3 linked regions of the Lytechinus pictus genome follow. The protein of the gene in region 2 interacts with the protein of the main gene of each other region in a pairwise test. Links are inferred from orthologs where the notes say so. Each region holds a gene or a part of one and is shown on either strand. Other genes may lie near its edges. The genes, in order: nuclear inhibitor of protein phosphatase 1-like, serine/threonine-protein phosphatase PP1-beta catalytic subunit and uncharacterized protein LOC129271240.

Region 1 (7,500 bases), on a different chromosome or scaffold from region 2:
ACGCGCTGGAGTAAAAAAGGAAGATAAGCTTGTTAAAATTGTAGTGGATGGATGGATAGCTAACCGTCTAAAAGTGGCAGCGGTTTTGAAATGAAGGGAAAAGAGGGGTTGTTGGAATATAGATTAATTACCATGTGTAATTTCGTTGGAAAAGAGGAGTAAGAACAAAGTTAATTGAATAGTGGATAGCCTAAGTACTGTCTAAAATTAAGGGAAAAGAGAAGTTGATGGAATATACAGCTAGGTTAATTACCGAGCCTAATTTCATTGGAAAAGTCGAGTAAAAAAGAACAATAAACATATAGATTCTAGACAGTTTGAATTGATTTAGATCTAGCTCTAGTGTATGTCTAGACCAAAAGCTTCTTTCTCTGTTAAATTAATTGTTCCGCTGAACTCCGTCGGCTCCACTCACCAATTACAGAGACCGAAGTTCTAACTCGATCTGTACAGGGACTCAATGGCTATATGTTTATGTATTAAGTTCCGATAAACCAGGGAAGTGGGAGTTGTGCGACAGCTGAAGAAAGTCACTGTTTTTGTCCTTTCAAGTTTATTTTTAAGCCTGAGTCGAATCGATTTTAAAATCGGTGTTCGATCCATGTCATCGAGCGCCGGTGCAGATTTTGCCAAATCTGTGCATCGAAAAAAAAAAGATTTGTTTGGTTCACACAATCAATCATCAAAATATCAGTAATGTCCAACTTGACTACTACTTACTTGATTTATATTCCCCCGAAAATGAAACCGATTGTGCAATTATGATGCATATTCACCATTAATTTGAAGTTTATTTCAATGATTTCGATCATTGTTCGAGTCTTACTCGTCTGCTCGTGCCGAGATGATTTATGCACGATGAATTCATGAATGAAAGTCATCGCTTATCAATCATGCATGCGCAGTACTGTGCTTTAATCAAACCAGAAAATTAACACGATCAACGTAAAATAAATCTTGCTTTCATGAACAATGTCTAGTCTATGTCATATAGTTTGGGCTCACAAACTAAACTTTAAAGACAGTAAAGTCTTATGAAAACAAGTACCGGTATTTTGCAGCAACTTGTTGCCAAAGAAAAATACTTGGTGTGCAAAGAGCAATGGCATCCGTCCGTGGCTCCGTGGAGAGTAAGCATACAATATTGATACATTAGTAAATGATTTTCACTGTCGAACGTTAGCCTAAGCCAAGGGCAGGCTTAGGACGGAGCCTCCTGCGCCGCCAAGCCCGGCATTGGAGACCTTTCGTTTTCTGTGAGGAGCCATGTGGACGTACGAGATTAAGGAATTTTAGGAGCGCTGCGCATGCGCGAAGTAATCTGTGACGAGCCTTCTCGTTCACTGCTCAAATCTGTGACTCGTATTTGAGGGTTTTGACGTTCGGTATCATACTCATAGTGCTCGAACGAGCGCTAGTTCGTACATGATGACGTCATCCAAGCTTAGCAAAAATGAATGAAGCCGCATCAACATTCGAGTTTCGTTGATTCAGCAGGGCTGGTAAACTGCAAATTACTGCTTGTTACCAGCTTTTCCATTAGTGTGTCCTGTTTTCAGACACTACATATCCGATAGTAACCCAGAGAGCTCCCGCCCGCGCAGCGGGCGGGAGCCCAGAAGCTTACCGTGTATTTGACCATATTTACCGGACTAGGGTGATTTATGGTCTAAATATTTCTCCAAATGAATTGTGAAAACAGAAAGTATACAATTACCACGATATATGGATGAAGGTCTAACGAGTGGCAGTTTCCTGACATCTGGGCACAGATTGGAACCTCAAAAAAACGAAAAGTTCTCTCCTTCTACCCCCGTTCCGATCGGCCATTTTTGTTAAAAATCGTAACAAAATGGCCGATCGAGACTGGGGTAGAGGAGAGAACTTTTCGTTTTTTTGAGGTCCCAGTCTGTGCCCAGATGTCAGGAAACTGCCACTCGTTAGACCTTCATCCATATAATTGTGGTAATTGTATACTTTCTGTTTTCACAATTCATTTGGAGAAATATTTAGACCATAAATCACCCTAGTCCAGTGAATATGGTCAAATACACGGTAAGCTTCTGGGCTCCCGCCCGCGCAGCGGGCGGGAGCTCTCTGGGTTAATCCGATAGGTAATTGTTGTTCTATTCCCAAACAACTGTGTTTTTTTCGGCTTTTTGCGCAAGAGTGCAAATGTTGCACCCACACGCCCACTGGCACTGGTTCGTAGCGTGATGCTACGCCTGATTCTCCAGCCGAGCATCGGCCCACGGCCCGCTCGCTATCACGCTGGTATATGCTGTGGCCTGGTACGGGTACGTCGACTTAAATCGAAACTGTTTTCATCAATGTACGAACGTGATACTGAACGAGCGGTGTCACCACTTCCGGTGAACTAGGACTACGTTGCAGTCGCAGACAATCGAAAGCTCCTTATTATCTAAATATCCTGCCTGGTTTAAGTCACCACTACATTCACTGGACAGCGACATCGCGATCGTTCATTTCGTCAGTGACTTCTTCATCTATCTCCCATTGACTTTGTACTCATAACACAACGAGCTCAAACACACTGACACACACGAGAAGAGAGATGACTTATTTCAGGATAAGGCCCCACGCCCAATCCCCGGCCCACGCCACCATGCCAATGTTGGAGTCTCCCCTTGTCCGCTGCGAGCTCCCGAGCCGGGGCCGGGCTGCGCCCCGCCCGAAGCGAAGGCAGCCTGAGCGAGCGAGAAACAGGGTTGAAAATCAGCTGCTCCCATACTGTTTTTCATTTAGATCTTAAAAAAAAATCTACGGATCAATTTTCACACGGACCATATCACTGAGAAAATGATAAATAGATCTGTTTTTTACCAAAAACTGAGTAAATAAATAAACAAATCTTACCATGACGGTACCTCGAAATTCGCCATGTTGACGAGCTAAGGATTGCTGCCATCTACGGTCAAGATACGTTTAGGAAGTTTAGGGCGTTGTGGCGTGCGCCTGTAATCCAAGCTGTGGGGAAGTTACAAATTGATGCAGAGGTTCGAGCCCTGGGGAGCGTTTCATCAAGATTTTTGTCCGGCAAGTTGTCAGATCTGACATCTTTCCTTGATTTTGATTGGCTGTGAGGCACTGTTACTATGGTAACTGTCGGATAAAACAGGACTTGTCGGATAAAACGTCCGACAAGTCCTTTCATGAAACGCTCCCCAGGTCACGTCTTTCGGATGGTGACGTTAAAGGTCGGTCCCAGACGTAAATAATCATATCTGATTGATACACGTCTGACAAAACTCAAATACACACACACACACACACACACATTTAGGTTCAGGGCGCGGCACACACCACATGTAGGATCGGGAGAATTAAAGGGGGCTTTATTCAGAATTTTTGGTGGGGAAGGTTTGACAGGCTTATCCGGGGTAAAATTGTGTGCTGATTCCAAAATAGTCAGTCTTATTGACCGTACTCACGACATTTGAGCAATTTTGGCCAATTTTTGAACAAAAATGACAATTTTGACCACTCTTTGGAAAATGGTCCCTTATAACAAAATGCTTTTGTAACCACATCCAATTAAGGTCCATCCTAAGTAAAAATGCACCCAGATTCCAAATAAAGTGGTTTCATTTGCCAATTTGCCAAATCACAATAGAAGTGGTCATTCTTGCCATGTTTTGACCAAAATGACAATTTTCATGATTTTTTGTCCGACATGTGTTACAAATATTGATCAGAACAAAGATTGGATGTCCCGTTTAGAAATCCACATTTATTTTTAAAATGTGCGCTGGATGATAACAATCAACCTCATATAATCTATTCTGAGGAGCATATTTGAGTAGTTCTAGAGCTATAATCATTTATCTTATCGTGTGTGCATGATGTGGTATGCGTGGTATGTAGGTTTCAAATATGATAAGTCAAGGTGACCGTGATACATTGGCGGATCAAGCCGGGCCGGGCCCGATGCCCTCCCCCCCTTGAAAATGAAAAAAAAGGGAAAGAAAGAGAAAAAAAGAAGGGGAAAGAACGGAGGAAAAAAGAAGAAGAAAATAGGAGGGAGACGAGTGAATAAAATAAGGTCAGGGGAATAGCCTGTTCGATGAGATACCCCGGGGGGGGGGGGCACTTACATTGACGAGTGGATACCATGCGCGACCAAAAAAACACGTAAAAAGGATGTCTTTTTCACGATAGGGCACGTTACGTACGTAACGTGATAAGGGTGTCAAAAACACAAAAATAATGAAAAAAGGGTATCTATTTCGCTAGGACAATTACGTGTTTAGGGTCGAATTTGCGGGGATGATAAAACAAAATTAAAATGTTTTATAAAGGATGTCCTTTTTGCCCCAACACTTCGTGTTTAGAGTCCAATTTGCGTGAGGTGTAGAAGGTGGGGTCGTACTTAACCAAATAAGGTAAAGCCGACGACCGAAGGACCCGTAACAATAAAACATTCCTGTACTTGTTTAGGGGTTCATTTCAGGGAATATTTGCAAAGAGTATCGTTTTGTTTCCAATACTTGTTAAGGGGTAGGGTTTCACACGCCAATACTTGTTAAGGGGTGCATTTTCAGAATATGGAAATTACGTGTTTAGGGTGCTTTTCGAGACCCCATGGTCGCGCATGGTATCCACTCGTGAATGGAAGTGGCCCCCCCGGGTGAGATACATAGCTTGCTCAATATGCTGATATGTAGCTTGAAATAAGTATTGAAGTCAATATACATAACATATTTCATCTCGGAAATCGAACTTTCATTATTTTGTTGGATTTACAAATTCATTTTTAAAAAGTGCTCTGTAAAAATGTCAGTTTTATGGTCTGAATATTAAAATTTTGTGCTCGCGCTGAGCGCTCGCAAATTTTGATTTATCAGGTATCTTTTATTTTCGTGTATTCCATAAAATTTTCAAAATATCCCTTATCAGGTCTGATTGTAAAAACGTATCAGCTATCGCTGCACACTCGCATTTTGATTGGTGAGTTATATAATGTCTCAATATTAATTATACAACAAACTATACTTTAAATCCCCTTTTCATGACAGTGTATAAAAAAATTAAGCTCGCAATTTGCGCTCGCTTTAATGGTTTAAATACATTAACTGATGCGTCCTATTTATAATTAAAAAAGTGCTTGAAATGTCAAGTTTTCAGGCCATAATATCATCAGATTTCGCGCCCTCAATATTGAATAGGCATAGATATTAATTTAAGAATTAAATTGCCCTTATGTTTCATCTTGCGCTTAGCAAGAGGAATAGGAAGACAGTCATTCACATGTCCTAAGGATGTCCCGGTCCTATGTCAAAACTCTTTTTTTCAAATCGGAATATCAAATAGTTTAAGCTCGCGCTCGCTTTACGCTCACTTTGATTTTCATGATAAAAGATTATTTAGAATGCCTAGATTCTAGCTAGGTCGAAACACGCGCGCATATGTTTATACAGATACTCAACTTGTTTTCTTAATTTAAATCATTATCCAGTTTCAGACCACAATATCAAAAATTTTCTGCTCGTGCTTTGTGCTCGCATTATTAATGTACGAAGATCTCATATAAATATTGAAAGTAGAACGTTTGATTAAATCATGGAATGCATGTCACCTAACTTTAACAGGAAAAATACTTGTAATTAAAACATTTCTCATCTCTCAAATGTTGTATAACGCTCAAATGATTATAATGCCAGAGAAAGTTGTAAAGCTTTTAACCTCCCTATTGTTTTCTTTTCTTTGGAATGGAAAGATAGATAAAGTAAAGAGAAAGGTTGTTTGTATGCAATATGATCTAGATGGACTCAAAATGGTTGATTTGAATATGTTACTCCAAAGCTTTTTATTGAAATGGATTTTGTATCATTATAATAACAAAGAATCGAAATTTAGTACAACCATTGATAGTTATCTTTCTCAATTTGGAGGATTAGATTTTGTATTACATAGTAACTGTACAGAAAAAGAAATTAAAGTATATGTAGATAAAATATAGATAAAATAAAAATGCCATATTATCATAAGGCAATAATTTACGCCTGGTTGAATTTTAAGCAAACCGTTCAAAATAAATCAGGTTTTCAAAATGTCCAGATCGAGAAGGAAAGTTTGTGGTTTAATTCGAATATAAAAGATCGCAATGGAAATGTATTGTTTTTTAAAAGATGGTTCGATATTGGAATTCTAAAGGTAAAGGACATTATTTCAGATTCCAAACTCAAATCATTAAAGGAAATAGAAGTTTTATTTGAAAAAAAAGTATGCAAGTCTTTTTCAGGAGTATAACATTGTAATGAATGCCATACCGAAAGTTTGGAAAATGAACCGGTTTGAGTTATTTTTTGAGATTCTTCAACCTAAAAATGAAAACATTCTACAGAATATTTTGACGAATGTAATTAGGAAAAGAGGTTCAAAGTTATTTTACACCATTATTTCAAATAACATAAGTATTAAGCCTAAAGCTGAAGAAAGATGGGAAAATATTTTACAAGAAGAAATTGATTGGAAATCTGTATGGTTATTTAATTTACAAACTGTCAAAGAAAATAGAATAGCAGAGTTTAATTATAAGTTATTACATAATCTTTTACCTCATAAATATAATATGTATAAATGGAAGTTAAGGGATAATCCTTTATGTTCACATGACAATGAAATACAAGACAGCGTACATTTATTTGTAACGTGTAAGAAAAAAGACAAAATTTAGTACCATTGTGTATAAAGTTGTAGGCATTAATTTTGATTTTAATGTTGCTACTTTGATAAAAGGATATGAGTTAAAAAATAAAGAGTATAGAATTTTGAATCTTCTTATTATGTATGCAAGGTATGCTATTTATTCAATTTTTATTCGAACAGTAAGTCGGAGTTGTCGATTTCATGAGTTTGGTATACTGTGTTTATTCAAAAGGTTGATTTGTAATCGTATAGAAATAGAGAAGCGTTGTAAAAGGAAAAATTTGTGTATTTTTGAAAACAGTATTGTTGAAGAAAATATTTCATGCTTTGTATGACATTGTTTACATTTTATGTAACTATTTCATGTGATTATGTTACCAATAAAATTATTTTCAAAAGAAAAAAAAAATCCCATATTACTCATTCTTTTCATGATTTACAAAACGTGAATTGAGAGTCCCGTTTTAAGGTCTAAATCTCGATTTTTTTTACGCTCGCGCTTCGCGCTCGCATCAAATAATTAATTGTTTAGTTATATATGTAAACAAATTTTCGGCATCACTCCTATGTGTTTAAGATCGCATGCTCGATCTTCAATGAACATCATAAGTCAGAAAAAATTGGAACCAGTGGGATTCGAACCTGCATCTACTGCTTTCCGGGCAGCGACTTAACCACCAGGCTATTCTTGTTCACGGCTATCACGATGAACTAGAATTCAAATACCCTCAATCCTCTTCTGTTATGATTTTCATTAAAGATCGAGCATGCGATCTTAAACACATAGGAGTAATGCCGAAAATTTATTTATAAATTATGATTTCCTGCTAT
Region 2 (8,284 bases):
CTATAAGGACCAACTTGACTGAACCATACAGTATTAAACAATGCTAATTCCACATGTTCAGGAGGAATTCATCGTTGTTTCACTTGACAATGAGGAGAAAATTAGAATATTTCATATTTCATATAATAAAAATTAAAATACAAAAGAATTAGTGAGTGGATGACGTCATCAGTCTCCTCATTTGCATACTGACCAGGATGTGCATAAAACTGTTTGTGAAATTAAGCGAAAATTAAAAATGTCATAACTTTCTTATTTTACATCCGATTTTGATGAAATTTTCAGTGTTATGCTTGTTGGATTTTTCTCTTTTTATTCAAATCAACTTTGTGTTAGGATGGACTTGTCCTTTAAAGTCGCTCTTAACTTACAAACAGCTTTATGAAATGCCTCCACCTGAAAGCATAGAATTTTAAGCACTTTGGGGTTTCAATTTTACTAAAATTATGTGGGCAGGAGCTGACGTTTCTTTACCAGTGGTGGATCCAGCTTTCACTATGGGGGGGAGGCCAAAAAATATTTTCATCTACATATTCTAAGCACTTTTTGTACCTGTGAACATGATGGGTATACGTATAGAAACAATTAATGCAAGCGCGAAATGCGAGTTGAGAAATGTTGATATTTTGACCTCAAGCAATGAACAACACTCGGTCATCATCACATATCCATCTTCACATCCCCCGAACATTAAAATTAGTAGGTGATAGGTCATTTTCTGTGTTTGCCCCCAAATATTGGAATAGATTACCCCATAAACTTAGACAATGTTCTTCTATTGATGTGTTTAAGAAGATGCTTAAATCTCATTTTGTGTAGTTTTGTTTTAAGTTTTCACCGATTGTATTTGTTTTGTCATTTGTACAGCGCTTTGTAACTTTTGAAAAAGCGCTTAATAAGAAGTATGGTGAGACTACCACATATCGACCACCTCTTTTGAAACTGACCACCTTGCGCGTGTTAAAATTATTGCGTATTACAAACGATACGCGCGGGAGAGTAGGCGCAGTGTCCGTAGAAACGGTAAGAATCGATTTTACGAGAAAAAAAGAAACAAAAAGTAAAAATTTAGTAGAATTAATCAAAATTGTATTGACCAGACCCAAACCCCGCTGAAAAACCAAGAAATCCGATAGGAAACAGCTTTAGAACGAATATCCGTCGTCAATCGTCGAATCATGTGCCGGAGCTCGCAGTGGAAGTATTGAGACGATAATTTAACATGTTGACATCATAGAACTGATTTTGAAAAGTAAAAATATTTCACCACTGCGACAAGAATCGGCCGTAAACTTAGCGTAACACGGGTGGTCGGTTTCAAAAGACGGGTGCAAATGAGCAAATGTAAAATTGTCGTATTCGTTGTTCGTCGATACGCGGATTGAATCAGAGTCGCCGAGCGAAACATAGGAATCTGATCTGCTCAATTTTCTGCACAAATGAGACGAAATCTGGGTAAAAATTGATGAATATTTTCGCAGATACGAAGCTTAGAAGATTAGGTGGTCGATAAGGGGTAGTTTCAACCATACATGTAATTATTATATTATTATTAAAGTTTGAAAGTAAAGCACTTTTGGTAATCAAGAAGAAGATGGGCATCTATCTCAACATTTTTGCAAGCGCAATGCGCAAGCTGAAAATTTTTGAATTTCCGCCCAAAACTGCACATTATATGCACTATTGGTAATCATGAACAGGGTGGGTATCTAACAAATCACTTTATGCGAGCGCAGAGTGTGAGGTGAAAATTTTTGATATTCCGATTTCCGAAGTCAAAACCAAAACTGGATGTTCTAAAGTACATGTTGTAACCATGAATAGGATGGGTATCTATCTAAACAATTGATGCGAGCGCCCCCTATATCAAACATTAATTTGGTGCCCCTAGGTCAGACATCAATTCAGCGCCTGTATGTCGAACTTCAATTCAGCGCCCCACTTGGTTAAACATCAATTCGGCGCCCTCCTTGGTTGAACATCAATTTGGTGCCCCCCCCCCATGTCAAATGTAACAATTCGGTGCCCCTAGGTACAGTAGAACATAAATTTGGCACCCCTATGTTGAACTTCAATTCAGTACCCCTAGGTCGAATATCAATTTGGCACCCCTAGGTCGAACATCAATTCGGCAACCCATAGCCTAGGTAGAACATAAATTTGGCGCCCCTACATCAACTTCCAATCGGCACCCCTAGGTAGAACATCAATTCTCTGCCCCCCCCCCCAGGTTGAGGATCAATCCGGCACCAGTGTCGAATTTCAATTCCCCGCCCCACTAAGTCCTATTAATTTGGCGCCACTAAAGTAAAATATTAATTCAGCGCCCCCTACATTCCTACAATGTAGGTCGAACATCAACTTGGCGCCCCCCTAGGCCGAACATCAATTCGGCACCCACCCCCTTCCCTTTTTCCCCTCTCTATTTCTTTCCCTTTTTCCCCTTTCTCTTCTTTCCCTTCTTTTAACTCTCCATTTTCTTTTCCTCTCTTTTGGCGCCCTCTTTTTCGCCTACTCGCCTCCCCCCCCCCCCCCCCAGAATACACGCATGCACACTTTGTAACGTTACAAATAACTCTGTAAATTCAGCTTTGATTTCATTTTCAGTTGACTCAAATTTAATTCCACCTCCATCATGTCCATTCATCTGACAATCATCACCAGTTATGGCAGATTTAATTTTGCAAGTGCAAATGTGTTCAACTAAAAAAGCACTTTCTTGAACAACGATTTGCTCTCATAAATATTAATGAACAGAACCGACGTTGCTTTGGAGCTGATTGAAGTCATTTGCATTTGATCACGAATGCACTAGGCCTATACCGGTACCGTACCGAGCTCATTCACGCAACACACAGCATCTGCGGATTACACGCAGCGTTTACTGAAACGCTTCCTGGTTCGAAAAAAAATCATGATTTTTGACCCATTAAAGCAACAATGTACAAAATAATCACCCACAACACATTACAAATATGTCAACAGTAATACCTTCCAGTAGACGAGTGAGAATGCTGTCAATATCCAATTCCAAATCCGCCATGATTAGAAAGTGCCGGTGAGAAACTATTGATCGGCGATTTTTAACCCAGGCAGGCCAACCGTTCTAGTAGGCCGTGTACCGGTACGTTATAATGATCGGACGTGATGAGCGAGGAATTCTGTTTCGGCTCGGAGATTCGAGCTGTTCTGTGAGAAAAGCCGAGAGTCTAAAATTAAGGAAAAATATAGATTCCAACAGAAAAAGATTTTATGTACCTAAACAATAGTTTCATATAATCTAATTCCAATTATTTTCAGAATAATTCTCTACAAAATCAAACTTGCCCTGCAATACACTTTCAGGACCATGACGTCATAGGGACGGGAATTTCCTTATTTGGAAAATGAGCCCCATCCTTCATAGTACAGGGTCACAAATTTCAGGACATACGTTTTATCAATTTATTGAGTGAAAAATAGAGACAATTTCAATGAAATGACATTCTTTAATAAGAATATGTCTCATAAGCCTAGTCGAGATAAAAACCAGGGCATGCATCCCTTTAGTACTTCCTTGTATTGTTCCGGTCCGCTTATGGGCCCGCTTAACCTACTCAAGAGGGGGTTTTCCCTAAATTTTGATTGCTACACTTCGGCCAAGTTATGCGAGTAGGTCCATGATGGGAATAATGTCATGGCTAGCGACTTTGTGCAATTTTTAAGTGATCTTCGGTTTTCAATTATTTTGCTCGTCTTCTGAAGATTACATGTAATTTTGTTTACATTAATTTTCATCCGATCCCTGAATGAAGGTCTAATTTACCACAAAAATGTATAACCCCGGCTGCCGTCCCGTAACAAACGGAATCGATTCTTTTTTTTCCAAGTTCCTTTTTTTTTATAGAGATATTTGCTGTAGGCCTATAGATGCAGGGGCGTCGATCCATTTTTCAGATTGGGGGGGGGGGGGGGCAAAGTCATGAATCAACGTTCCAAAGGCACTCGATCAAAACAAACAAACTCACCCCCCACACACACACCCACATAGGCCTATATATATATATATATATATGACTCATGAGAAAGAGACACATATCTCACCAACAAATTATTGCGAGCGCAAAGCGCGAGCTGAAATTTTTTAGTATACTGACCTGAAAGCAGGAAAAAGATACCTGTTTGTAGTAACTCATGTGGAGGATACATATTTCACTACACAGATAATGCGAGTGCCGAGAGCGAGCTGAAATGTCTTTATATTCTGACCTGAAAGCTTGATTTTCTAAGCATTTTTGGTACTAATGATTAAGATGGGTATCTAAAAGAACAACAGATGCAAGCGTGAAGCGCGAGCTGAAAATTTTGATATTTCGATCTGAAAAAATTTGTGTTTAATGGAGTTTTTTTAATAAAGAACAAGACATATATTCAACAAAAGATTATTGCTATTGCAAATCGGAGCGGGAGTTCTTTTGAGGTTTAGAACTGAAAACGAGACATTCTATTCACCTATTTAATCATGAAAAGCAGTATGGGTTTTTGCTACAGAAATGATGCGAGCGCGAAGTGCGAGCTGAAAATTTTTATATTCCAATCTAAAAAGCGGACATTTTGAGCACGATTTTAAATAAAGAACGAGTTGTGTATCGCTTGCTGATTTCTGTGTAACATTACAATCTTACTTTATTATTGCACATGCGGAATTATTGGGGGGGGGGGGCAAAACGATATGTTTGTCCCCCCCATATTTTCATTGGTGGGGCGATCGCCCCCCCCCCCTGCCGCCCCCCCCCCCCCCCCCCAAGGATTGACGCCTCTGTATAGATGCATAATGTGGTGATAAAGGAATTTGATCACACACAGCCCTCAATTTCTGAAATTAGACGTTTCAAATCGGGAGTAAAAGGCAATCAAATTTCACAAACAAATGGGCTACTGAATTACCATTATAGTTATGAATGACTTCACTTGAGCATCAAATTATGCCGATGAATTGAACATATAGCCCTATATTTTATAGATATTATTATTATTATCTTATAAATATTATTAATTTCTAGTCGAGATCAGAGATGGGCTTTTAAGAATAATCGATTTCTTTTGCAGGGGCGGCCGGCCGCGGTTCGTGCACCGTTCTGAAAGTGTGTGTGGGGGGTATTTCAAACGTTTTTTGTTACTTGCCTTTGGAAAAATGTGAAGTCGCCAAGCCCCCCCCCCCCCGTCCTCATTTAGCAGTCACTAGTTTCCCTGTAAACAAGGTTGTATTGGTAGTTCATAGTAATGCCCTTTTTACTGTCGGTACCCCCCCCCCCCCTCCACTCGTCCTAATTCAAATGATTGCCGCCTTAACACGTCACCATGTGGGGGGCGGGGAGGCGGATTATGCCCACCGTGTAGCTAGGAACTGCCCTATTATAGAGCTGCCATGACACTGATTTATGCTGGGAATCTCAATTTTAAACCTCTTTCTCATAGGCGGATCCATGGGGGACGAAAGAACCCCCCCCCCCTATATTGGCGGTGCAAAAAAGGGAGAGAAATAGAAGGGAAAGAGATAAGATGAAAAGAAGAGAAAAAAATAAGAGGAGGAAGACAAGTGAATAAGATGATGACGATTGGAAGACTTAGAAAATTAGAAGAAAAAAAATTATGATCGCTTATACCTGTTCGATGACTCGGACATATCTTGCTCAATAGGCTGATACGGAGCTTCAAATATTAGTATCTGGTTCAGAGAAGTCACTGTGGGCCTACATTTAAACATATTTCAGCTCGGACATCGAGCTCTCATTATTTTCTTTGATTTACCCATTTATTTTAGAAAAAAAAGTGCACTTAAAATATTTTGTGTTATGGTTAGAATGTCATTTTTTTAGCTTGCGCTGCAAGCTCGAAATTTTGATTTGTGAAATAGGCCTACCTATTCTCTTGTGTACTTCATTTTAGAATATTTGTTTTCAGGTCTGATTGTCCAAAATTATCAGCCAGCGCTGCGCGCTCGTATTTTTGTTAGTGAGTTATGTACTTCTATATGAATTCTATCCCGGCCTTTTAATGAGAGTTTATCAAAACTTTCGGCTTGCGCTTTGCGCTTGCATTAAATTATAAACCCATCATATTCATCATTACAAAAGTGCTTACATGTTGTAATTAATATCGGCAAACTTTGCGCTCTCATTACGCCTATTATAATATTAAATGAGATAATTATATCCTTTTCATGAATTCCTAATCCTCAAATTGTCCCTTTTAGATCCGAATATCAACAATTTTGAGCTCGCACTTACTAGGAGGAATATGATACAAAAATGCGCTTTGAATATATATCCCGTTCCTATATATCAAAATAATTATATTGAAAAAAATCAGCTCGTATTTGGCGTTCGCATCATTTATTAAGTGCAATCCATATCCATATCCTCTTCACAATTTTTTCTACATAGTGCTTAAATTTTCCCCTTGTCAGATAGGATAATCAAGAATTTAAGTTGAGCTATGTGCTCGCATTATTGATTTAGGAAGTACTCTTCCTTTTCACAATGATAAAATATGTTTTGTGAAAAAAAGTGAAAAGAAACAGAGCTCGCGCTTCGCGCACGCATGGCTAGCTCTTTGTTTAAAACGTGCTTACTTATTTTCCATTTTCAGATTAGAATACTTAAAAAGCTCTGCACGCGCTTCGCGCTCGTTTTATTCATGGGATTCATGTAGGAAGATACCCATCTTTTACATGATTACAAAATATAAAAAGAGTGTCCAGTTTTTAGGTCTAAATCTCTCCTTTATTTTTCCTTTCATAAAATTGTTCTTGATCAATCATGTTGCAAAGAATGTTCAATTTTCAGGACAAACAACATGAAATTACAAAAAAAAATCAGCTCTGGCTTCGCGCTCGCATTATTTAATTAGGGCTTATGAGATGAAATTATCAATTTTATAAGAATAAAGCCAAGAAGACTAACCCTTGAAATTAACCAACAAAACTCACCTTTGTGAGCGGCCGATCAGGGAAAATGTGGATGAATATATTTTTCGCCTCTCACTATTGGCGAAAGCAGAATCAGAATCCGCCCGTGCTCTTTGATATAATCAATTTTATTTTAAGATCGCCATCTTACTAGTAGGGTAACATTTACACGGGAATATTCATTAGGGAAATGATCGTAAAAAGACAAAATAGATATCACAAAATACAAAGGAACATCATGAAGTAAGTTGGCTTGGGAAAATTAACATTTAGAATGGCCGGAACACAAGCGCACTTGTGTTAATACAGTGTTTTTGTTTGTTTTTTGTTTAATTCTTAGCTTAAAAGGGGCACTTGCCGTTAAGAAGCCTTCACGTATTTTGTAACCGTTGCAATCCTTAGCAAAATGTATCCAAGTGGTCGCAAGCGGAAAAATTAGAGAGGCCGTTAAAAGGAAATAAAATAGTATACTGAGATTAAGAATACTTGTTAAACACTTATGCTGAAAATGTGCAGTTATTATGGAAAGTGAGGTCCATGCACTGATTAAACTGAAATTGAGCACTTGATTACCAGCTCTAAATAAATATAGTCCGAGTAAACGATTCAATTGGAGACTTTATGTTTGTTAAAATGGGGGGGGGGGGGGTCCAATTAAAATGAAGGGGGTACTATTTTTTTCAAGAAGCAAAAAAAAAAAAAACATGGACATTTCGTTATCACTGATTTGCCCAGTATAGGCCTATTTATTTCACGATTTCACAATCACCAATTGAAAATATATTTTATTTCCAATTATTTTGATATCTTCACCCTTTCAGAGTGTCTGATAGTAGACTTTTCAGAAATCTGAGGGGATATCGAGCTGCATAGTCAGAGGTCCAGAAGTAAGCCCTTTATATATTTATAAGAACAAAAATAGAAGAAAAAAAAATTACTGTTAGCCTTTCCATCGATAAAATTTCAATAAACAATTCAAATTGAATCATGAAAGTGACAATTGTGAGAAGGCGAGAAATAGTGAAATGGACCTCAGTAAAAAAAATAATTAAAAAAGGAACCATTTAAATGTAGGGGGTGTGATTGGTGAAAAATAACGCCTTGACTATAATATTTGCTCTCGGAATACTATTAAATTCATGATACTGGATTTTAGGTGGGGTGTGATTTTGAGCTATCGAGTCCATTTTGGGAGTGAGAACTTTTGGGCAAAATGGACGGTATGGACCAGGGCCGGGGGCTATACTCTCTTGTCGGGTCTAAATGTGTTTCGCCTGATTTCTTTCTAGCAAAGAGGTAACTTATAAGGAATAATATGAAAAGGGGGAAAATATC
Region 3 (7,941 bases), on a different chromosome or scaffold from region 2:
CTATTACTACTGGCCGTAACAGACCCATCACCGCCCCTAAACTTCCCGGGAGATACTGCTCAGCCGCTGGTCAGACTCGAGTCAACTCCCAGCAACTCCACCCCAGCTTCCCTCACTGCACTGCACAGCGGAGATCGATAATCGACGCCCCGGATCGACCGGTAGAATCGCATGAAATATTACATTTTTTCCATATCCTGTGGGTAGATTTACAAAGACATCTCGTCCTTTCAGTGCAGAGTTAATTTCATCGACTTGCAAATCCTTAAATCGGTCAATATTCAGCGTTTTAGAGGCATATTCAGTGATCTTTGATATTTCGTCGTCACTCTTTGCCAAGAATCCAAGGGTCGCCATTCAAGAGGAGCTCATGAATATTTAATATGACGTCATAGCAGCTCGCGCTCTCATTGGATGATTTTCACCGACCAGTTTTTGGTCGGTGAATTGGTAAAAACAATAAAAAACAAAAGAAAGTCGGTGAAATTTGGCACAGATGTCAAGAGGCCCCGTCTCGCGGCGCTCTGCTTCGCTCTCTCCCGTGCTTTGCCATGTTTGCTTGGAAAGCAGCCGACAGGGCCTCGACAAGAGGCTATATACATGTAGGCATGGTGAATGATACATTCATCAATAGACCTGTGTATTAAAAGCTTAAAGGTTTAGAAACCTGATAAAGATAGAAAGCTCATTAGAGACAGGTTACACTGCATGAACTGCAAGTAGATCTAATTCTCAATGGGTGTTTGTAAACATGTACAGTGCATGCATGCGTACAGTGCCGTTTAATGTACATGTTCTATCTAGCATTCTAGCTTACCTTTTTTAAAAGTCCTGGAAATAATGTCTTTACAAATACATTCACAGTGTTGGCAGAGCTCTCTTTATGAAGCTGTAAAAGTGTCTGTGACAGGGGAAAAATAACATGGAAGCTCAGGGCAATTTCACCCTCAAAATGCTCATAATCATCATTCATTGTAATTTTAAAGCTTATCCGATGTTGAATATTTTAATAGACATTAAAGGGGAAGTTCACCCTGACAAAAAGTTTATTGTAAAAATAGCAGAAAAAATAATAAAAAATATTGCTGAAGGTTTGAGAAAAACTCATCAAATAATTAAAAAGTTATTAGAATTTCAATTATTTGATTTGTGACGTCATATGCGAGCAGCATTCCTACATAGCGAATGGTAAAAAATCAATGAAATGTCATTTTCTCAGAAAATTGAAAATGGTTTTCACTATACCTTTTGTATATCAATAGACAAATCATTTCACACCCGATCATGAATAGAAAACAAAAATAAATCATCAGGAACCATGCAAAATTTGAAATTCATGCATTTTATATTACATAACACATGGGGCAGCTGTTCGTCTATGACGTCACAAATCCAAAACTTCGAACTCTAATAACTTTCTTACTCTTTAACGGATTTTCCTCAAATCTTCACCAATATTTTTTACTATTTTTTCTGCTATTTTTACAACAAAGTTTTCTTCAGGGTGAACTTCCCCTTTAAGTTGTGATAAGTAGCCCCGAAAATGTAAAATTCATTATTTTTGCTGGGCCGTAAAGTGTGATTTAAGAAATTTTGGAAGGTTGTTAAAGTCCCTATTAAAAGCTTATGTCTGTACACAACAGAGCTCAAATAATTCAACTCAAGGCCACCAAAGGCCATGACCTTGCGCCCTTTCAAATGTTTGTACGCCACCCCCCCCCCCCCCCTCTTGCATTCAAATACTTCCGTAAATTTTGCGGCCTGGCCTTAAGAGTGATGTGAGTGGCTTTTACATACATGTGAGTTTACTGAACTGAGTATCTAGAGGACTCAAATTGAAATCTGAAAGGGTGACACACCCCTGTACCATATTATTCATGAGTGCCCCCCCCCCCCAATCTTGCAAAATTATTGTTTCCACAGTGTATGGCGGTATTTGTGAGGAAAATTAATTAAGTTTAAGATCCATGATTGTTTTCATATTTTTTCAGATTTAAGAAAAGTACATACATGGAATACATTCATGTGACATACATACATATATATGATGTATGACACTTAAAATATCCGAAATCCCGTTGGTCATTCTGTTGTCATAAAAGCGTCTGTGGGAGTTTATAAACAACTTTGCCTGTCCAACTGTGAAAGCATTGCATGAGTCATTATAGGACATTAGGCTCAGTACACCCAGATGGCAGTTTAATTCATTCTGTGTTGTGATCACAATCACTGTCCCAAAAGACAAGCTTTCGTCCTGGGCGATATATTGCTTGGCAGTACATAATGTACAGGACATGTTTAGGGCCTGTGTACATGCAGCTTTCATTGCTCATGTGCAATATTTTGATGATTACAGTTTACATTCAAATTTGTTTAAGGTGGCAATTTGCAAGGGGAGAACAAAATGAGATTCTGGGTTGATTGTGAAGTGCTGCTTTTATTGCGGGGACTTTTCAGCTGAAACAATGGAGGGGATTACCCAGTATTTGGGCTGATGTCGCCTCAGGAATACTAAAAATAGCCCTGAAGAATAAAAAAAAAGACTCCTGAAAAAACCCCATTCACTGCAATTTCATGTTTGATTTTGCAGATCTATTTTAATAACCAGGACTTTGTCAAGGGTAGTCCCCTCAAAACTAATTTTCCTACTGGCTGAAACCCTTTACATACAGTACTGTGTAGGCAATCTTAAAATTATCTTAGACTTGGATGATAAAATTCAACTCCTTTAATTTAAGCCTTGAGGTACATGTAGACCTACCATTTATCTGGTTGAAAGCCATTGCCAAGAGAAGGGGTTAGATAGAAATTAGAAATAGACATGGTGGCCACTACACATGACATGACTGTTAAATGATATCATAACATACATAATTATCTTGACCCTTTGTCACAGCTTTAGAATGGATTTATTGATGATCTTTGAAATGCACTTTTTAATTTTTTTATATATTTTCTTATTCTTATTGATTTTCGCTGTTATACAGTAAGTTTAAAGAAATAAATCTTACCGAAATTAAATGTTTGTGTACATTGCAATAATCGAAAGCAAATCAATTTAACAATCCATATAACAAATCAACTACATGTATAATATAGACAAAATATGTTTACTTCTTTGAAAATGAAATTTTTCCCAAATCTGTGATTCTCCTTCATAAAATGATAATGCTACAAATCAGTTTTTGTGGATCAGGAGACTGTGAAAGATAGCTTTGCTTAAAAGGTCAAGTCAACCCAAGAAAATTTTGATTTGAATAAATAGAGAAAATACAAACTACTGTAGCATAACGCTGAAAATTTCATCAAATTTGGATGTAAAATAAGAAAGTTATGGCATTTTAAAGTTTCGCTTAAGTAGTTTTCACGAAACAGTGATATGCACAACTTATTGGCATGCAAATGAGAGAGTTGATGATGTCCCTCACTCACTATTTCTTTTGTTTTTATTGTCTGAATTATACTGTATTTCATTTTTCACAGATTTGACAATAAGGACCAACTTGACTGAACCATGATAGTATTAAACAATGCTAATTCCACATGTTCAGGGAGGAATTAATCGTTGTTTCACTTGACAATGAGGAGAAATCAGAATATTTCATATAATAAGATACAAAAGAAATAGTGAGTAGATGATGTCATCAGTCTCCTCATTATGCATACTGACCAGGATGTGCATAACTGTTTTGTGAAATTAAGCGTAACTTTAAAATGTCATAACTTTCTTATTTTACATCCGATTTTGATGAAATTTTCAGTGTTATGCTTGTTGGATTTTTCTCTGTTTATTCAAATCAACTTTTTGTTGGGGTGGACTTGTCCTTTAAGCTTTATTAGTCCTACATGTAGTCTGCGAGCACAGACTCATATTTGACACTTTACAAATTACAGTACGTACATGTACATGTCTAGAGTGAAAGACTAGACTCCAAACTATCTGTCTCTTTGGTACAAGCAGCAACAGTACTTATAGTGAATATAGTCTCACTACTTCAGACTGCGTTACATGTATGCACTATGCAAATTGTGAAAAGCAAAGGTCTGTGCCTATATACTAGCTGTAGCTGGCCATGGTTGTCAAGAAGAGGTGTAGAATGACATGTACTATGACATAAAATTTGCCATTTGATTGGATCATAATTGGTCAGAGGCTTTCAGACTTGTCTGAAGGAGAGGATTACTAACTACTAGAGGATCCTCAGTTTATAAATTGCAGACCGAGGACAAGGACAAATGGGGCCTACATGCAATGTTGAAGAAAATCCCTAGAATTGTAGTCCAGTGTAGATGTAGTCTGCAAGCATAGACTCATATTTGTTCACAAATTATAATATTTCTAGGATGAAGTCTACACTCCAAACCCTCTGGCAAAAATATTCATGATTGACAGATATGTGTCTTAAATCCAAAACGACAAAGTCTGTCTTGCTCCATAGTATATTACAGTGTACATGTTTGAAATTTGTCTCAGACATCAGACCGCATTCATTCACATGCAAAAAACCCAATGTACATGTAAGTGTACTCACATACTGCATGCATTTTCGAAATCAAGATATTTATTAATTCCCCTCTCTCTCTTTCTTGCTATTCCCTACTGCAGAATTTGTGGAACCCAGCGTCCAGCAAGCCAACTGGAAGGCTATTCCATCTCACCTTCAAGGGTCAGGCTCTCAACCTTACATGATGTCAAACACTGGCAAACCTGACTTCAATCTTACTCACACAACACCACACTCCAATGGTCTCTCTTTAGAGGATGTCCAGCAAGGGGGGCTGACCAATGGGTCTGTGGATGGAGATCAACGGTCGCAGTCAGATGCAGCATCCAGTAACTCTGGAAGTGATCTGCTGATAGATTTGTCAGAGGCAGACTTTGCACCATCTGCCAAGCCATCTTCTCTTCTCTCTGCTCTGAAAGAGAGCTTGGCTGCTGAGAAGGAAGCAGAGCCATCTGAAGCAACTGCCTCCGACGAGAACATTGGAATCACTGGTGAGGTCATGTATTCAGACAGTAATTCCCAGCTAGATCGGCAAGACTTTACAACATATTCAACAAGATCAATGTCAATAAGTGATTTGAATAATATTGACTCCTCACCACCTACAGAACAATCTGAAATGAAAGGACATTCAAGTGAGGAACATTCATCAAAACTTGATAGCAATCAAGAACAAATTCCTGTATCCACTTTTTCACAAATGGCACTATCAAAGAGCAACTCAGAAACTTCAGGAAGTGTGCGGGACACAGTAGGTGAGTCTACTCCAAATACCTTTGGTCAAATATCCGAACAAAATCATGAGCATTCTTCCACCAAGAGTGGAACAGAACAAAACTCAATGGATGACATCCTCTTTACTAGAACTGAAGATGAATCAGTGTCTGTTGAAAGATCGATTGATAAACCAGTTGAAAAACCTGTTGAGAGCAGTGGTATTCAGAAACCTGTGGAGCAAGAGACGGCAGAAATGGGATCGATAGAACTGAACAAAGACGATACTTTGGAGAAAGGTTCACCAACCAGTTATACCTCGAGCTCCAGTACTCCACCAGTGGATTCAGAAACCATGCAGGAATACATGAGACAAGGTGCAAGACCAAAGCAATTAGGTTACAAGACTCCAGAACAGAGCCCTCTGAAAAACACAAGCGACAAGGATCAGGGGAAAGAGGAGCCGCCATCAAATGTGATAAGAGTGACCGAGTCACCGCCCGTCATTGGATTCAGTACTCTGTCCAATGTGACAGTGTCTCAGTCAGAACTTGATGAATTGGATGATCATGATTCAAAACCATTGGCATATGATGTGTCTGGGAGTGAGGTTTTAAGAAGGGATGGGAAAATGCCCACTTTTGGACCAACGAATCAGGATGTTTCTGTGATGGCAGGGGATAGTCAATCACCTTACATGTTGACAGGGCAAGATGAAATGATGAACAAGGACAGGAACACCATGGACAGCAGTGTGGCACCTTCAGCACCGGGATTGGTACCACTACGGTCAGATATTGCATCTCCGACAACTGCGAGGGTTCCTCGCAACACTATGAAACCATTGAATAATGACATTTCAGCACCACCCAATGTGAGTATTACACCCCATAGTAATCACTTGAGCATTCCCGATGATCAGGACAATATCGAAGATAGAATTAGTCCTTTATCAAAGATTCTTGATCAACAGTATAGGTTGGAAATGAACAATTCCAAAGGAAATGACAATGAGTTAGCCAAAGTGGACCCATTTTATGGAAGCAATCCTCAGTTTGAATCTTCAACGGAAGAAGAGGTTGTACCTGCTGCTTTGTCCAACATTTTAAACCCATCTATGCATACCAAGTTGCAGTCAGGAGATTGTCCTGGTGTGGTTTCTCCTGGCAAAGCTGACCCTTCATCAAGTGTCCATCCAGCTGTGAGCACTCTAGGTTTTGGAATCACCCAGCCATCTGTCGATGTCAACATTTCTGTTATGCCAAAGATGAATAATGAAAGACACCAAGTTAACCCTGACACTGTAAGCCATGCAGCCAGCCATCAAAATGGGGAGCAGGACCTGCCCCTTGTTGACAAAGAACATCAAAGACAACCAAACACATCTCATCTGTCAAGCCCTATGAACAATCATACAGAACTTAGTCACCAGGTCAGTGAAAACAGCAGACTGCAAGATCTTGCCCCCGTGCAAAATTTTTCAATTCCAGCTGGGGCTCCTCCGGAATTATCCACAGCTCAACCAGTTCCACCTTCAATGTCTCCAGAGCTGGCTGTTGAAGCTAACCTTGAGGATTCATTAAACAATTTACCGCCGGACCCTCCATCTTACCAACAGGTGGAACAAGCAACACACAAAGAGCGCAATATTTCCCGTCATGGACTGACTCTTGACTTTGGCATGGGTGGATCGGAACAAATGAATGGATATCCCGATGAACACACACAGGGCATTAATGAGAGTGACCCGTCTCATAATCCACATTTCGTGGCACCGCCCAACGTCTCGTTAACACCGGGCATGGGTCTTCCGGTTGAGCAAAGCCAAAACGGAGCCATGCCTTCAGGTAATGGGAACATGCCCGGTGATGTCGGTGTTGTTGAGAATGGAGAGTTGGCTGTGTCTGAGGGAATGGATCCGATGACAGCACAGAACAATGCAGTGAATGCTCAACACATGGTACCAGCTCCAGGAGGTGGTGAACCTGTGCCGGGTGATGTTGCACCTATCTGGATTCCTGACTCAGACGCACCTTCCTGCATGGGGTGTAACCTGAAATTCACCTTCAGGAAAAGGAGACATCATTGCAGAGCATGTGGAAAGGTAAACAATAGCTTTTTTTAATTTGTTTTTGTTTTTATTTGTGTAACATGATTGATGAATAACCATTTTTGGTTGACTTTATCTCAGGGGCGGCAGTTTTTCTGCAACATTATGTACTTGTAATTCAGACCAGGTTCTAAAAAAAATCATCAATCAATAAAATGTATATGGCTTCAGACAAATTCATAAGATATATCTACAAATATGTAAATGTATTAAGATTCAATTATTTTGCTAATGGTTCCAAAACTGACCTGGGCATAATTCAAATTGTATGAAGAGCAAAGTGTAGAAATACATAACTCATGTCAAATACAATAAAATATATTCATAGATGAAGCAATTCTTATGATACCTTATGCTTGTACTCTTGCAAGGAATATACAGTATACCGTAGATAGTGTATTGACACAAAAATAGCTCATATGGATCCTTGTGTCTCTTTATCAGAAATGCAAAATGTACTCTTGATCAGAAATGTTCATTGCAAATGAATCCCCCTAAAGCCCCCTTTGGCATTCACCTTTTACTGTAGAAAATGTCATGCATGCATACATTTTAGTCCAGTGATGTGGAAGGATAACTCTCATGAATTTTTTGCTTTTATATTTGCAGGTG

Evidence for each region.
Region 1: the proteins of serine/threonine-protein phosphatase PP1-beta catalytic subunit (region 2) and nuclear inhibitor of protein phosphatase 1-like interact in a two-hybrid assay, tested with the Drosophila melanogaster proteins (2 studies listed by BioGRID). The link is inferred for Lytechinus pictus from reciprocal best matches to the Drosophila melanogaster genes flw and NiPp1.
Region 3: the proteins of serine/threonine-protein phosphatase PP1-beta catalytic subunit (region 2) and uncharacterized protein LOC129271240 interact in a two-hybrid assay, tested with the Drosophila melanogaster proteins (2 studies listed by BioGRID). The link is inferred for Lytechinus pictus from reciprocal best matches to the Drosophila melanogaster genes flw and Sara.

What each region holds. Positions count from the first base shown.
Region 1 is NC_087261.1:1,178,211-1,185,710, forward strand, and holds the start of nuclear inhibitor of protein phosphatase 1-like, read right to left. Parts: upstream 3,209-7,500; 5' UTR 2,904-3,208; coding exon 2,878-2,903; intron 1-2,877.
Region 2 is NC_087251.1:11,502,127-11,510,410, reverse strand, and holds the start of serine/threonine-protein phosphatase PP1-beta catalytic subunit, read right to left. Parts: upstream 3,360-8,284; 5' UTR 3,328-3,359; intron 3,190-3,327; 5' UTR 3,044-3,189; coding exon 2,992-3,043; intron 1-2,991. UniProt on the Drosophila melanogaster protein: Required for cell adhesion in non-muscle tissues and in maintenance of muscle attachment. Vital for larval development.
Region 3 is NC_087255.1:33,955,068-33,963,008, reverse strand, and holds the start of uncharacterized protein LOC129271240, read left to right. Parts: upstream 1-4,607; 5' UTR 4,608-4,686; coding exon 4,687-7,323; intron 7,324-7,938; coding exon 7,939-7,941.